2 linked regions of the Stegostoma tigrinum genome follow. The protein of the gene in region 1 binds, or shares a complex with, the protein of each later gene. Links are inferred from orthologs where the notes say so. Each region holds a gene or a part of one and is shown on either strand. Other genes may lie near its edges. The genes, in order: annexin A4-like and tardbpa.

Region 1 (7,433 bases):
AGCAATGGAATCTCAAGACATGAGCTGCAGAGCTTCACACCAGAGCTGAATGGCCATGAGAGCTTCTATGAAGGAAGGTCTTGGCTGACGTAGTTTCTGTTAACATTCAGCTGTGCTTCTTTCAACAGAGCCTAACATTTCAGACCAACACTGAAAGCGATGCTTTTCAAAACATATTCTACAACATGAATCGTCTACCTGGCAATTGGTTCTTGGTTTATTGCCTTAATGTTTGCAGCTTGGCTTTGAACTTGTTCATACCAGCTCTGAGCAGAGGCAAGAACAAGCTGCACTGGTCCTAACCAGTTCTTTTGAACAAAACTATCTACCTTCTAACCTTTAAAAGGTCAGACTTAGGAGTACGAAAGTATTTTATTTCCAATTATAAGTAATCCTTGAAATACAGCAATATTCCACGGATAAACAAAGGTAATAACAGAATGGTAACAGCATTGAAAGAGGCTATTCAACTCATCAAGGTTATGTTTGAACTTTGCAAGTACAGTTCGGTTCATCTGACTCCCAGCCCTTATACTCAACCATCCAAATGTTTCCTGTCCACAGCGAGCTCTCACAAGCAGCAGTAATATGCACAGCAGGTAATCTATTTGTGTGATATTGCTAGAGGAATAGGTATTGGCCAGGGCACTAAGGAAAACTACAAATTTAAAGAACTGTGGATGCTGGAAATCAGAAACCAAAACAGAAATTGACGGAAAAGCTCAACGGGAGCAGTCACATCCGTGGAGAGAAATCAGAGTTTAACGTTTCGGATCCAGTGACCATTCTTTAGAACCTACTGGCTTTTTCCAACAATTTCTGTTGTTGGCACTAAACAGAACTGCCTACATCTATTGTCCCGTTGCTTATTCAATCCCCTTCAAAAGCTCTGATTGCATTGGTCTCCATCACCTTTTCAGGGATCACAATCCAGATACAACAAACCTCGTGGAATAAAAAGGTTTACCATCCCAATTTGGCTTTGATTCTTTTGCCTTTCATTGGTTGTTAAGTCTTCTGCCAATAATGGCCATTATCTTGACACCATCATGACTGTGAACACTTCTAACAAATCTCCTCTTGATCTTCCCTTCTCAAGAGGAAGCTGGTCCAGTTTCTCCAATCTATCCCTGTAATATCCTCTTATACATCTTTTCTACAGTCTCGCCAAAAGGTTCATATTCTTCTTAAAATATGGTGCCCAGAATTGGAAGCACTATTGTTTGGTAGAGGCATAGAAATGTACAGCACAGATACAGAGCCTACGGTCCAAATCATCCATGCTGACTAGATATTCCAGATTAATCTAGTCCCATTTGCCAACAGTTGGCCCATATCCATCTAAACTCTTCTTATTCATATAACTATCTAGATGCCTTTTAAATATTGTAATGGTGCCAGCCTCCACCACTTCCACTGGCAGCTCATTCCACACATGCACCACCCTCTGCATGAAAATGTTGTCCCTTATAAATCTTTGCCCCCTCACCTGAAACCTGTGCCCTCCAGTTTTGGACTCCGCTACCCTGGGGAAAAGACTTTAGCTATTCAGCTATCCACGCCCTTCATGATTTTACAAACTCTATAAGGTCACCCTCAGCCTCTGATGCTCCAGGGAAAATAGCCCCAGCCTGTTCAGCGTCTCCCTGTGGCTCAAACCCTCCAACCCTGGAAAATGTCCTTTTGGGCAACAACTCAACTGTCCTTACCTGGGTCTGGCCTACATGTGACTCCAGGCCCATAGGAACATAGATGACTCTTAACAAGCCTTTGAAAGGACAACTAGGGACGCACAACAAATGCTGGGCTAACTGGGACTGAAGGAAATTGAGGCTAATCCAGTATTTTATAAATGATTCATCCCATTCAATGTGAGGTGAAGCTGATAATTCCATTCAATAACTTGTTTAAATGAAAGCAGTAGGGCAGAACTACACCTTAACACCCTGAAGGTGCTGGGTATGCTTACACAGGCTGTTTGAGCTGCGCAATTTGTCACATCCCCTTCAAAAGATTCATATTGTCTTATAACATGTGCTTGAAGCTCTTGTTGCAGAGTGGTAGCATTCCTGCTTCTAGCCAAAAAACATCCAGGTTCAAGTCCCATCTGCTCCAGAGGTGCGTCATGACATGTCAAAAGAGGCGAGTTTTTTTTAAAAAATCTATAACTTTGCTAAAAATTAAAACAGGAGACCAGACCCACTCCTTAATACCCAGAAGATGGTAAATGTGATCATGTTCAAGATTCCCCTCTGATATTATCTAATATTATTATTAATATTAGCTAATATTGTCATTAAAAAAGACTTGAGCATCTTGTAACAAATTGTTAGTGCTCCTATTTCTAGACCACAAGGCTTCAATTATCACTTTAAGATTCAATGGCTACAGAACTGTCAGACGTCTAAATAGGTTGATAGATTTTTTTTCTCTAAAACACGCTCATCATTTCTGTGCCAAGTAGAATGCATTCTCAAGACTGGACCAGAATATGAGGGGAAAACAATCAACAGTTTTACACAGATACACACGCTTGCGGTTTACTGTTCAGGAGAACTGCAGGACTCTCAAGTCGATCAGTCGACACTAGACGATGTAATCAATTGGCTTTCCTGAAATCAGAAATTAAGTGATAGGCATTGCTTTCAGAGAAAGTGTCGCCACACTAGATACTTAAAAAAAGGAAAGGCTTCAAACGGGCGATGGTCATCATAAAAAGAAACTGCAAGGGAACAGGAGAGCTGGCAAGTTGCCCATCTCCTTGCTCCTTGTGAGTTTCAAGCGTCTTTTAATCACTGGGATATAGATTCACGCCAGCATCGATCCCCATACCAGCACCCCAACCAAACACACCCCTGTCCCACCCCAGCACAACCATAATCCGTTTCAAACCAGGAGCTGCGATGTTTAGCGAATGTGCTTTGCCGGGGAGAGAGAGAATGAGCAGAGCAATTACATCGAGGACGAACTGATACATTGTTTCGGGAAAGAAAACAAATCAGATTTTGATCGGGATGGTATTTTCACCTACCTGCAAGGCGCTTGATCCGTACAGCAAGTTCCGCAGACTTCTTCCTCTTCTTAGCTCGTCCGCCCTGTTTTTTTCGGTATACTAAAATAGACGTAAATCTATTCAGCTGACCTTCCTACTCAATACCACCCGCCCATCACAACGTCAGAAGCTAAAGCAACAAATTAGACGGTGGAAAAAGAGGACGTGGAATTTGTTCAGTTGTAGCCTTGATATTATCTGCATTGTAAAGTTGAAGAAGGAAGTGCGGGGACTTTATTTTGAAAGACTGAGTCATCTCAGAGGGGCTATGTAATTATTTGGGGGGGAAATTCTCAGTCCATAGTGTCAGTCGTGTTCTCTTGAGCGCGCCTCTGTTAAAAAAAAATTGTAACAAGCTTCCGTACAAAAGTTGCTACATTACAGATGAAACCTCACATCTCATCCTGCTGCGGAAGAGAAATTATTCGTACAATTGCTAGAAAATAGGAGATAAGGACCTGCGCAGTCAGAGGACGTCCCAAAGCACTTAACAGTCAATGAAGCTCTTTATCAAATTGGTGTTCTAGAGTAGAAAAATTGCGGTAGCATTTCACTCAAACTATGCCCCTTTGTATAACACTGAAACAAAACAAACAAGCTGGGGACCTTAAACAAAAACAGATGCATCACAGCGTGTTTCAGCGACTGCTCTGACCAGGACGTTACAAACTCCAGTCTAATCCAGCCTTCCATCCATTGACTTCATCTATACTTCTCCCTGCCTCAGAAGGGCAGCCAACAGAAACCCCTCCCACCCACGTTATAATCTCTTTCAACCTCTTCCCTCTGGCAAAAGATACAAAAGCATAAACACATCTCCCAACAGGTTTAAGAACAGCTTCTTCCCTGTTGTTATTAGACTTCTGAATGGACCTCCCAAATTTCAAATTTGATGCTGATCTTGCTCTTTGTGCTGTAACATTATATTCCTCGATAATAAAGTGTGAAGCTGGATGAACACAGCAGACCCAGCAGCATCTCAGGAGCACAAAAGCTAACGTTTCGGGCCTAGAGCCCCTTCTCCACTTTGTGTGGTATGATCTGCCCATACTGCACACTAAACCAAACGTTTCACTGTACCTAGGTACATGTGACAATAATAATTCAAAGCCAGTCAAAATCAAATTTTAAAAATTAGAAACTGCTGGAGAAACTCAACAGGTCTGGCAGCATCTATGAACAGAGCGACAGATAACATTTCGAGTCCAGTGATCATTTTTCACTTCTGCTTCTGTTTCTCTTTCCGCAGATGCTGCCAGACTTGCTGAGTTTCTCTAATAATTACTGTTTTTACATTCCTTTGTAACAGGGGTGCTGTCTCTTTGTAAACGTGCACAACAACGTCTTACAGAAGGCAGCAATGTGATAATGAGCAGAAAGCGGTGTTGTTGATTGAGAGCTCGATATCAGCCAGGGCTACTGTTCTTGGGAATAGTGACACAGGATCTTTGATACCTCACTCGAACAAAGTGTGAAAGGGGTCTGGCCCCCATTTGAGAGGCAGCACTTTCAAGAATGCAGTATATACAAGTAACAAAAGACATATCATTTTAGTGAGATAACAAGGTGTAGAGCTGGATGAACACAGCAGGCAAAGTAGCATCAGAGGAGCAAGAAGGCTGACGTTTTGGGCCTAGAGTGCATTGGCAAAACCCAGTAACCAGCTATAAAGGATCGAAGATCTTGTAATACTATCTGAATGGCAAGAGGCTAGAAATTATGAAGGGGACGGAGGGGCTTAGGTCCCTATATGCATGACTCATTAAATGCTAGTACATTGATTCAAAATATAACAAATACAGAAAGCAGGAAGCAAATAAGTGTCCTTCCTGTCAGGTCTAGGCAATTAAATTCAATATCAGGGACCCTTTAAACCAAGCAAACATGATGAACAAATAATCAAACTAGTGTTTGTCTCAGAGGGCAAATAAACATTTCTCGCTCTTTCTCACAAAAAATCCAATGAAGTGTATCTTCATATGTCCCCCTTAACACACTAGACCTCATCAGAGGCACACTGTTGTTACAGGAGTAAACTGTACACACCACCTACAGAATAGACTGCAAATTGCCAAGCTTGCTTTGACAATATTGCCCAGCCTTGTTGTCATCACCAAGATGGAGAAAAACAGCAGCAAAATCATGGGAACATTATTATGTTTAAATGGCACAAACTATGAATTGTAAATGTGCCTCTACTTCCTCATCCCTGGATCAAAAATTACCTGCCTAACAGTATTTTAATACTGACAATATTAGGACTTCAGCAGTTCATAACAGAAATTCACTTCCATTATCTCAATTGAACTAGGGATGGAGAATAAACATGTTTCTACTAATTTGCACTTCATACATTAAAAAGCCTTTGTTCAAAGGAAGCCAACTGTTATGATCTAATCTGGGAAATGCATAAACATCTATCATCTGGAAATGATCGCTGGACAGTTGCAGCAATGAGTCAGAAGAGAGCAGAAGATAGACCCCTGGTGAGTTCTAACATGCAGGGACACTTATCCTACATAACAGAAATAGATACAAGCCACATTGACTGATCAGGCATATTTGCTTGTGTCTATCAAGAGCCAGCTTTGTCTTCTAACCCTATCAAGATCTCAAACGAGAATGCCAGATTCTCCAGTGAAGACACTATCAGATTGGGTAGAGATGAATACAATGTCAACATTAACTGTTTCAGAATTATTATTTTTATAACACCTGTCACCCTGTTATAAACCGTCACTTTTGTATCGTCCTCTCTCTCCTTTCTATGACTTTCTATTTGCTTAAATCCTGTTATATTTTCCAGCTCTGAAGAAATGTCACAAACCTAAAATATTAACTCTGTTTTTCCACCCAAGCTGCTTCCTGGACAATCGCTACATATTTATCCAATCAATGGCTGAACAGGAGTAAATTTTACAAGAAATTGAATAATATAAAAGCAACCTTGCTATTGTGTTCCTGAAAAATGTGATCTCATTGTGAATAAAATAATTTATTTTAGGAATTGCATCAAATGAGTTCTGGTTGCTTAAGAGAACTTTAAAGAATTCCTGTGTGTGGTTTGGTTACAATGAAAGTAATGTCACTTCTTTAAAGAATCTTATCTCTCCATGAAGAAGTCTTTTGTTGTTCATATTATTTGTTCTGCTGTGGGAGCAACAAGACAATATGATACACAAAGGGTGGAGATATAATGTTACTGTGATACTGTCCTAACTGTTACAATGCAAAATTGACTGCATAACTCCAGAACTGGATCTAGATTTGACTTCAGAATGGAGCGGTGTGAAACCTCTGAGGGAGAGAACCACGTTGTCACTCATTTGTGGCATCAACCTGGGTTACAAATGTATTTAAATATTGCTGTGGATCTTCTGGGTATTTTCAAACTGACCTAGACTTTGAAATATGTTGAGAGTATAGCTTTCTCCTAATCCGTATGGCTTAACAACAGAGCTCAATTTATTTTTAAGCAAGATGCTCTCTGCATAGGTTCATAATTTCAATTAGGAGCGAGACATCGCCAAGTTTCCCAGTCTGATGTCTGAAGTGTAGACACAACCAAAGAAAGATGTGTTCATGGGTCTTGTGAATGAGAGTCTTTGTATAAGGTTGACTTGTGGTACCACTGAAAGGCACATAAACTTTAACAGTTTCCAGCACTCATTCTAAAAATATTGTCTATAAATAGTTCCAAGGTTCAACAAATCCAAGTGATATACATTAAGCTCTTACAACTGCATCTAAAAATAAGTCCATTTTCTATGATTCGCACGGATCCTGATTCCTACTCTGCCTCTTCTTAATTGAAAGAACAATCATTGTTTGATTTATGGGCTGCTTCTCAAATATTATCTGACAAATAGAAATGAGGCCCTACCAAAAGTCAATAAAGAACCTCTGTTAGTTTAATCATTTACCTGTAAACTTTTCCTATCATCAGTTGTCTGTTTACATTTTTCAGAGTGCACAGTGAGTCTTTGAAATCCTCTTTTAAACTCATCTGTGCTACTTGCTTCACACCCATCCTAATTTTGATTTTTTAATTGTAACACTATACATGATATTATAGCCACATAGAAGCTTCCATTCTCCTGAATGCAATTTGCTTACGGCACTATTTAACTAACATGTTGAGTTGAGATCTCCATGTTGCCATGCACTCTCCATTAAAATATCACTGGGTTAGACTCAAAGACATGTGACAAAATATGTCCAGGGTGTCTCTCACAGAAGTGTGTTAGCCACAACTGGTATAATTTGAAGATTTGTGGGATCTGGTTGTCAGGTTTCACATAGATAAGATCATGTACACAGAAAAATATTCGACAGAAACAGTAATAGGGCAAATGGGATACTGGCTAGGTCAGAAGACAAG
Region 2 (8,003 bases), on another chromosome or scaffold:
GCAATGTAGAGGTCAGTGCTCCATACTACAACTGCGCCTCCCTTATCTGCGGGTTTGATGATGTGGTTGGGGATCCATCCCCTATTCCTAATTCTTTTGCCTCCGTCACATCTGCTCCCAGGATGAAACATTCCACTCTCATACATCCCAGATGTCCTCGTTCTTCAAGGACTGCAACTTCCCCCCCGCAGTGGTCGAGAACACCCTCGATTGTATCTCCGTAATTCCCCCAACTCATCCCTCACACCCCGTCCCCGCAATAACCGCCAAAAATGAATCCCCTTTGTCCTCACATTCCATCCCACCAACCTCCGGATACAACGCATCATCCTCCGACACTTCTGCCATCTACAATCCAACCCCACCACCAAAGATATTTTTCCATCCCCACCCTTGTCTGCCTTCTGGAGAGACCACTCTCTCTGGGACTCCCCTCCAACCCCAACCAGCACCTTCCCCTGCAACCGCAGGAAATGCTACACTTGCTCCCACACCTCCTCCCTCACCCACATCCTAGGCCCCAAGATGACCTTCAATATCAAGCAAGTGTTCACCTGCACATCTGCCAATGCGGTATACTGCATCCGCTGTACCCGTTCTGGCTTCCTCTACATTGGGGAAACCAAGCGGAGGCTTGGGGACCGCTTTGCAGAGCACCTACGCTCGGTTCGCAATAAACAACTGCACCTTCCAGTCGTGAACCATTTCAACTCCCCCGTCCCTTCCTTCGACAACATGTCCATCCTGGGCCTCCTTCAGTGCCACAATGATGCCACCTGAAGGTTGCAGGAACGGCAACTCATATTCCGCTTGGGAACCCTGCAGCCCAATGGTAGCAATGTGGATTTCAGTAGCTTCAAAATCTCCGCTCCCACCACTGCATCCCAAAACCAGCCCAGCTCGTCCCTGCCTGCCTAACCTGTTCTTCCTCTCACCTAGCCCCTCCTCCCACCTCAAGCCGCACCTCCATTTCCTACCTACTAACCTCATCCCACCCCCTTGACCTGTCCGTCCTCCCTGGACTAACTTATCCCCTTCCTCCCTCCCCACCTATACTCTCCTCTGCACCTATCTTCTCTTCTATCCATCTTCGATCCACCTCCCCTTCTCTCCCCATTTATTTAAGAATCCAGTCCCCACCTCCCTTTTCTGATGAATGTCAGCTTTTGTGCTCCTAAGATACTGCTTGGCCTGCTGTGTTTATCCAGCTCCACGCTTTATTATGACACATCACCCATCTAGTTTGCTACCTATCCCATGTGGCTCACAGTCGTGACACCTTTATTATAAAATTCTGAATTGAATTAGCTTTTTGTCACATGTATGAGTACAGTGAAAAGTTTACAAGTCACCACTTAAAAAGCGCCATCTTAGGTAGAAGATATGATACCTTGATTTTAAAATTCTCATTTTTATTTTCAAATTTTTCCACTGCCTCACTATCTCTATTGCTTCAAGATTGTCCAGACCTACACACTTTCAGATATCTACATCTCTCAATTCTCGTCTCGTAAATATTCTTATTTTGAATTGCTCCACAATTGGTAGCGGTGCCTTCATCTGCCTTAGTTGTTGATCCTTTTCTCGTCTTAGCGGGTTTAAGTATTCAGACCCAAGAATCTTAGAAATAATGAGACCGGACTTAGTTAACCAACCAAAAGGAAGTGGTGAGGGGAGGTACTGTTGAAAAGAATCCAACTTGCTAATGAACTCAGATGCATGAAGTTAAAAAGTACTTACATCCACAACTGATTCAACCATGTGAGAGGTAGTCTTCAGAGGCCAAATGAGTCATCTCTCTCTCTCTCACAATTACAGTAATCAATTTCAAAAGTCACTGTCCTATATACAGTATAAACCTGCACATGCTGAATTGGGGATGGATTCTCATTTTCAGGTCCTCATCAGGACTTGGTTTAGATTACAAATTAGGCAGTTGTTCAGAGTATTTAGCTGTTAGCTAATTATTAGTCATGTTTATCAGGTCAGAGACATCGAAGGACATGCTCACACATCTGTCTTTCCAGACTTCCAAGGCCGATTTCAAAAACATTTTAATCACCCTCTTTTCTCTTAGGTCTGATAAGGCTATCTAACTTAATCTGGGAACAAGGCTGTTCTCATAGTTTAGCAATCTTGAGAAAAACAAGAAACAGAGAGAAAATGCTGGAGAGACTCAGCAGATCTGGCAGCATCTGTGAAAAGAGATTAACAGACTTAATGTTTCAGGTTTGATATGACCGTTAGAATCTTAGTCTTACAGTATAGAAACAGATCATTTGGTCCAACTCATGCATGCTGACCAGACGTCCCAATCTGATCTACTATCATTTGGCAGCATTTGACTCATATCCCTCTAAACTCCAAATAAAAATGAAAAGAACTGCAGATGCTGTAAATCAGGAACAAAAACAAAGTTGCTTGTTAAGTGGTCTAGGCCCAAAACCTCAGCTTTTGTGCTCTGAAGATGCTGCTTGGCCTGCTGTGTTCATCCAGCTCCACACTTTGTTATGTTGCTGGGAAAGCTCTGCAGGTCTGGCAGCAGTTGTGAAGAAAATCAGAGTCAATGTTTCAGATCCTATGGCCCTTCCTCAGAACTGGACCAGACCCCCGCAGTGGTCGAGAACGCTCTCGACCGTGTCTCCCGCATTTCCCGCACCTCATCCCTCACACCCCGCCCTCGCAAAAACTGCCAAAACAGAATCCCCCTCGTCCTCACATGCCACCCCACCAACCTCCAGATACGACGAATCATCCTCCAACACTTCCGCCATTTACAATCCAACCCCACCACTAAAGACATATTTCCAACCCCACCCTGGTCTGCCTTCCGGAGAGACCACTCTCTCCGCGACTCCCTTGTCTGCTCCACACTCCCCTCCAACCCCACCACACTCTCCTCTCCACCTATCTTCTCCTCTATCCATCTTCGATCCACCTCCCCCTCTCTCCCTATTTACACCTCATCCTACACATGCGACTGTTAAAAAGTTAGCCCTCAGATCCTCTTTAAATCTTTACCCTCTCACCTTAAACCTATATCGTCTAGTTTTGAAACCTCCCACCCTTTGAAAAAGAGCTTGGCTATTCACCTTTTCCATGCCCCTCATGATTTTATTAATCTCTAAGGTCTCTGATGCTCCAGGGGAAAACGCCCCAGTCTATTCAGCCTCTCCCTATAGCTCAAACCCTCCAGTCCCAACAACATCCTTCTAAATCTTTCTGAACCCTCTCAAGTTTAACAATCTCCTTCCTATAGAACAGCAACCAGAATTGTACACAACATTCTAAAAGTGGGCACCAATGTCCTGTCGAGCTACGACATGACATTTTACCTTCAAACACAACGCACTGACTAACGAAGGCAAGTAAGCCGAATGCCTTTTTCACCACCGTTTCTACCTGTGACTGCACTTTCAGGAACTTCAGTCATATTGGGCTTGAAATATTAACTTTTTTTCCTCTCCAGAGATGCTGCCAGATCTGCTGAGTTTCTCCAGCATTTTCTGTGCTTGTATCAGATTTCTAGCATCTACAGGAGTATTTTGATTTTATTTGAGAAAATCAAGCTCTCTCTCCCTGCCACTCTATGTCCCGAAGCTCGATCGACCAGATCGGTCAAGTTTAAAAAATCTATATATACCATCATGGCTGGATAGCCAACGCAGGTCTGAACGTCAACTACAGTTTATTCTACAGGATCCATATCCAACAAGGTTCTATGCCCCCAAATCCCCTTCCGAAGGCTCTACCTTTGTTTCTTTAAAACACTCCATACAACATCCCTCTGATCAAGTATGCAGCGTCCTAACATCTCTTAAAACAAAGGACAGAAACTGCTGTAAATACTCTGAACGGGTAGCAACTGGGAGCAAAGAAATAGATCAGGCCTTTCAGGTCAGAACTAGTTCAGCAGCAATTAGTTTTTATTTCAGACTTCCAGCATCCAATGTATTGCTTTGGTCGTAATGTGTCCTTCTGTGGTTCAATGCCAAATATTGTCCACTATGCCATAAGAGGTCCGTCTCGAGGAAGGGAGAGACAATTGGTTTGATAGCTTGAGGGGTACCACCCTTGAGCAGGTCCCAAGTCTACCTCAGTCAGGAACAGACGCTTGGTGTTACTAAAGCAAATGCTAGCCGTGCAGACAGACCTAACCAGCGCCCTTGTAGGACATTAAGGTTGCCATATAAATGCAAGCTGCTAGTGTACATTTACCTCAGCTGCAAAAATATCTGTAAGGCACAATTCACTATTGTTGTCACCAAAACAATGAAGTGATTGAGTCACTTTCAACTGTTAGCTATGCTCACAGGGAATATTTCAGAGCTGTCTGCCCTAAGAAAGAGTGTTTTCTTTATAGTCTTGCCCTGACATTAAGGTTAGGCCGAGCTTTTCCAGCAATTTTTGTTTTTATTAAAATTAGCAACTGTGCTGAATTGCATTGGAATAATAACCATTAAACATTGACAAAACGATAAATTCTTCATAGAACAAGGATTATAACATTTACATTTTCACCCATTTAGGTGCCAAACTCCCTTTGTGTAACCAGACACCTTACCAAGCAAGGAGGGCGCTTCCATCCTAATACAGGGGAGATTAATAAAACAGATATAACAGCCAGCACGAACAAACACGACAAACATTTTGCCTTCAATCAATAAAAATGAGTATAATGTATCTCATAATAATGAATTAGAATAATGCATACATCAAGCACGCAGGAGGATTTTTAATTAACAATATGCACACTGACCCCCCCCAGTAACAAATGAAAGACGCCCACCGTGAGCCTCATGTCATGTGGTGGGCTGACGTTCAACGCGCCAGACGGTGACGTTTCGCACAGACTTTGATGACGGAGCGTACGAACGCCCAGGCAGAGCGCGTGTAGTGGGGTTGGAGGAGCCATTTTGTGCGCGCTTTTCATCGAGTGAGGAGGCAGCTTGTCGCTGTCCCGTCAATCCGCCGCCGCGCTTCACTGTTCATCAGGGCTCGTCCCTTCTCTTTGTTTCTCTCTTTGTCTTGTTCCCACCCCAGCTTTTCACCCTGGCGATGGCAGAGTATATCCGTGTGGCGGAGGAGGAGTCGGAAGAACCGATGGAGATCCCGAGCGAGGACGACGGCACGGTGCTGCTGTCCACGGTGACGGCGCAGTTCCCGGGCGCCTGCGGCCTGCGATACCGTAATCCCGACAACCAGTGCATGCGAGGCGTGCGCCTGGTGGAAGGCATCCTGCACGCCCCGGACAATGGCTGGGGCAACCTGGTCTATGTGGTTAACTACCCGAAAGGTGCGGCCCCCGTGGTGGGGGGAGGGGATGGGGAGCGAGGGTCGGTTCGCGCTGAATGGCGGCGACGGTTTACTCCCTTTCCCCAGGGATTTGGAGGCGGGGGGCGCGGTGTGCTTGGCGACGGAGAGGAACGGCAATCTTTTTATTCAAAATGCATGGTTTTTTTTTATTTAGCGACACCGTCCCGAGAGCCTCGCTTCACCGCTCGTCTGCCGGTGCCCAGCCGCCATTTGCTGAACACGCCGTCGCCTTGTGCTTTCAGCTTGCACAAGCAAATTAGTCTGATTGGCTTCGATCAAGCGTTAAAGTCGTTCCGCTAATTTCCCCCCCGCCCCGGGCTGCAGCCTCTGAGTTCTCCTTCTCAAAAATCGGGAGTGAAAGCTTATTTACTATTCCTAACTCTCTTTTTTTGCTTCCCTTATAAGCTGCTGGCTTTGTGCTTCAACTACGCGACCGCCATTTATGCTCCGCTTCCATCCCAACCAGTACGCCCAACGTTGCCGTAGTCCGTATTGGTTCGGATATATGAGTAGCAGTCCATAAAGATTTACTGGATAGAAGTCTACAAAACCAGAGCATTTCTATGCAGTAGCCACTGCTGATATCGGGGTTGATATTTGCAGTTCTGATGTTTTAACTTGTCTTTTGTAATCGTTTTAACTGTTGATTTCCTTTTTGGGGGAGGGGGGGTGGTAACCCGTGCTGAAGATCTTAAAAGCTCAAGTTTTATTGCTGTGCCCAGGCACAGGCTGAATGTCAGAAGGATTTCATTGTCACCCTTTTTCAGCAGTCAGACAGCTTCCTCTGATAAAACACAATACAGTTGCTGGAGATTTGCAAAGAAACAAAAATTGTCAGAGATTTGTCAGGTCTGGCAGCAATTCTCAAAAGGTCGCAGGGCTAAAAATGTCAATTCTGTTACACTTGCCTCATGTTGCCAGACCTGAGTTGCTCCATGAACTCTTTTTGTTTGAGTAGATTATTATGCTGCTTGAGGCCAATATGAGCCAAACTCATTGCTATGGGTCTGGAGTGATGAGGATCAGAGATTAGGAATGCTGCACATCCTTACCTGAAAGGTGACAATTAGCCAGATGGTTTTTCTAGAATCCAGTAATTTTGTGGTCATTATTAGTTTTACATAGTAAATTTGGTTACTTAACAAAACTAAAATTCCCCAGACATGTAATTCTAACTCTCTAAAGTAATGGACCTCCTGAATTTATATTAAACACTCATCCCTTGTTTCAAGTAATAAACTGCAGCAGTGCCAATGTTCTAAGTTATTGAAATGTTTCTGTTACCTAATGGACTGTTGTTGAACAGAGACCTTATGCTTCATAGTTCTTGAAAGTGGAGCCCCAGGTAGATAGGATAGTGAAGAAGGCATTTGGAATGCTTGCCTTTATTGGTCAGTGCATTGAATGTAGGATTTGGGGGTGGGGTGGGGGTTAGGCTCATGTTGCAACTTTGAGACATGGGTTAGACTACTTTTGGAATACTATGTGTGTTTGTAGTCTCCCTAATCTAGGATGTTGTGAAATTTGAAAGGGTTCAGAAAAGATTTACAAGGACGTTGTTAGGATGGGAAGGTTTGAGCTATAGGGAGAGACTGAATAGACTGAGGCTATTTTCCCTGAAACATTCTAGGCTGAGCGCTGACCTTTACAGAGTTTATAAAATGATGAGCGTGTGAATAGATAAGGTCTATTTTGGCGATTCCAAAACTAAAGGGTATAGGTTTATGGTGAGGTGGGGAAAAATTTAAAAAGGGCCTAAGGGGCAACAGGACCTCACAGCACCAGGGACCCAGGCTCGGTTCCAGCCTTGGACGACTGTCTCTATAGAGTTTGCACGTTTTTTTCTGGGTGCTCCAGTTTCCTCCCACAGCCCAAAGATGTACAAGTTGGGTGGATTGACCATGCTCACTTGCAAATGGTGTTCAGGGATAGGTCTGGATCGGATGTTCTGAAGGTCGGTGTGGACTTGTTGGGCCAAAGAGCCTGTTTCCACACTAGGCATTCCATGATCTAAAACATAGGAACAGTAGGCAGTTCAGACCATTGAGCCTGCTCTGCCATTCAATGACATTGAGTGATCCTCAACTCTGCTTTCCTGCCTTTTCCCAATAGAATTTATGTTCTGAAGGTTTATTTTTCCCTTAAGTATACTTGATTGCCCTGCCTCAATAGCCCTTCAAGGAAAAAAAAATTACAGAAATTCACTGCCTTCATAAGAAATTTGTCCTTGTCTCTGCCTTAGATATGTGAACTCTGACTTTGAGATGATGTCCTCTGGTCCTAAACTGACCCACAAGGGGCAACAACCTTTCTGTACTACCCTGTCAATGCACTGCGAATTCTTGTACATTTTAATAAAGTCAGCTCTGCTCTGAATTGCAGTGAATATGGACACTATCTACTCAGCTTCTCATAAGATTTGGCTGTTAGCAGGTGATTGCCAACAAGTATCATCGTCCACCTGGGAAATTCTGTGTCACTGGGCATGAGATATGTGGGTCTTTGCATGGTTGGTGCCAACTAAATGAACCTTATATAGCCTGCCTTCAGTGCCATTATATCTTTCCTTAAAGTGTCCAAAACCGTTCACAGTATTCCAGCAGTGGTCTGACTGTTCAATAGCTTTTGCAAAATCATCCAACTTTTATACTAATTTCCCATTGCAATAAAGGCCAACATTCCGTTTT

Evidence for each region.
Region 2: the proteins of annexin A4-like (region 1) and tardbpa are in contact, whole or in part, in a cryo-EM structure (PDB 9FOR), measured with the Homo sapiens proteins. The link is inferred for Stegostoma tigrinum from reciprocal best matches to the Homo sapiens genes ANXA11 and TARDBP. Residues at the interface, in NP_001148.1 of Homo sapiens: Gly56, Met57, Ala59, Met61, Ser62, Gly63, Phe65, Asn69, Pro71, Asn72, Leu73; in NP_031401.1 of Homo sapiens: Ala328, Leu330, Ser332, Trp334, Gly335, Met337, Gly338, Met339, Ala341, Ser342, Gln343.

Annotation. Positions count from the first base shown.
Region 1 is NC_081390.1:18,821,429-18,828,861, reverse strand, and holds the start of annexin A4-like, read right to left. Parts: upstream 3,184-7,433; 5' UTR 3,032-3,183; intron 2,613-3,031; exon of another isoform or gene 2,545-2,612; intron 1-2,544. UniProt on the Homo sapiens protein: Binds specifically to calcyclin in a calcium-dependent manner. Required for midbody formation and completion of the terminal phase of cytokinesis.
Region 2 is NC_081381.1:39,737,788-39,745,790, reverse strand, and holds the start of tardbpa (TAR DNA binding protein, like), read left to right. Parts: upstream 1-4,888; 5' UTR 4,889-5,058; coding exon 5,059-5,296; intron 5,297-8,003. UniProt on the Homo sapiens protein: RNA-binding protein that is involved in various steps of RNA biogenesis and processing.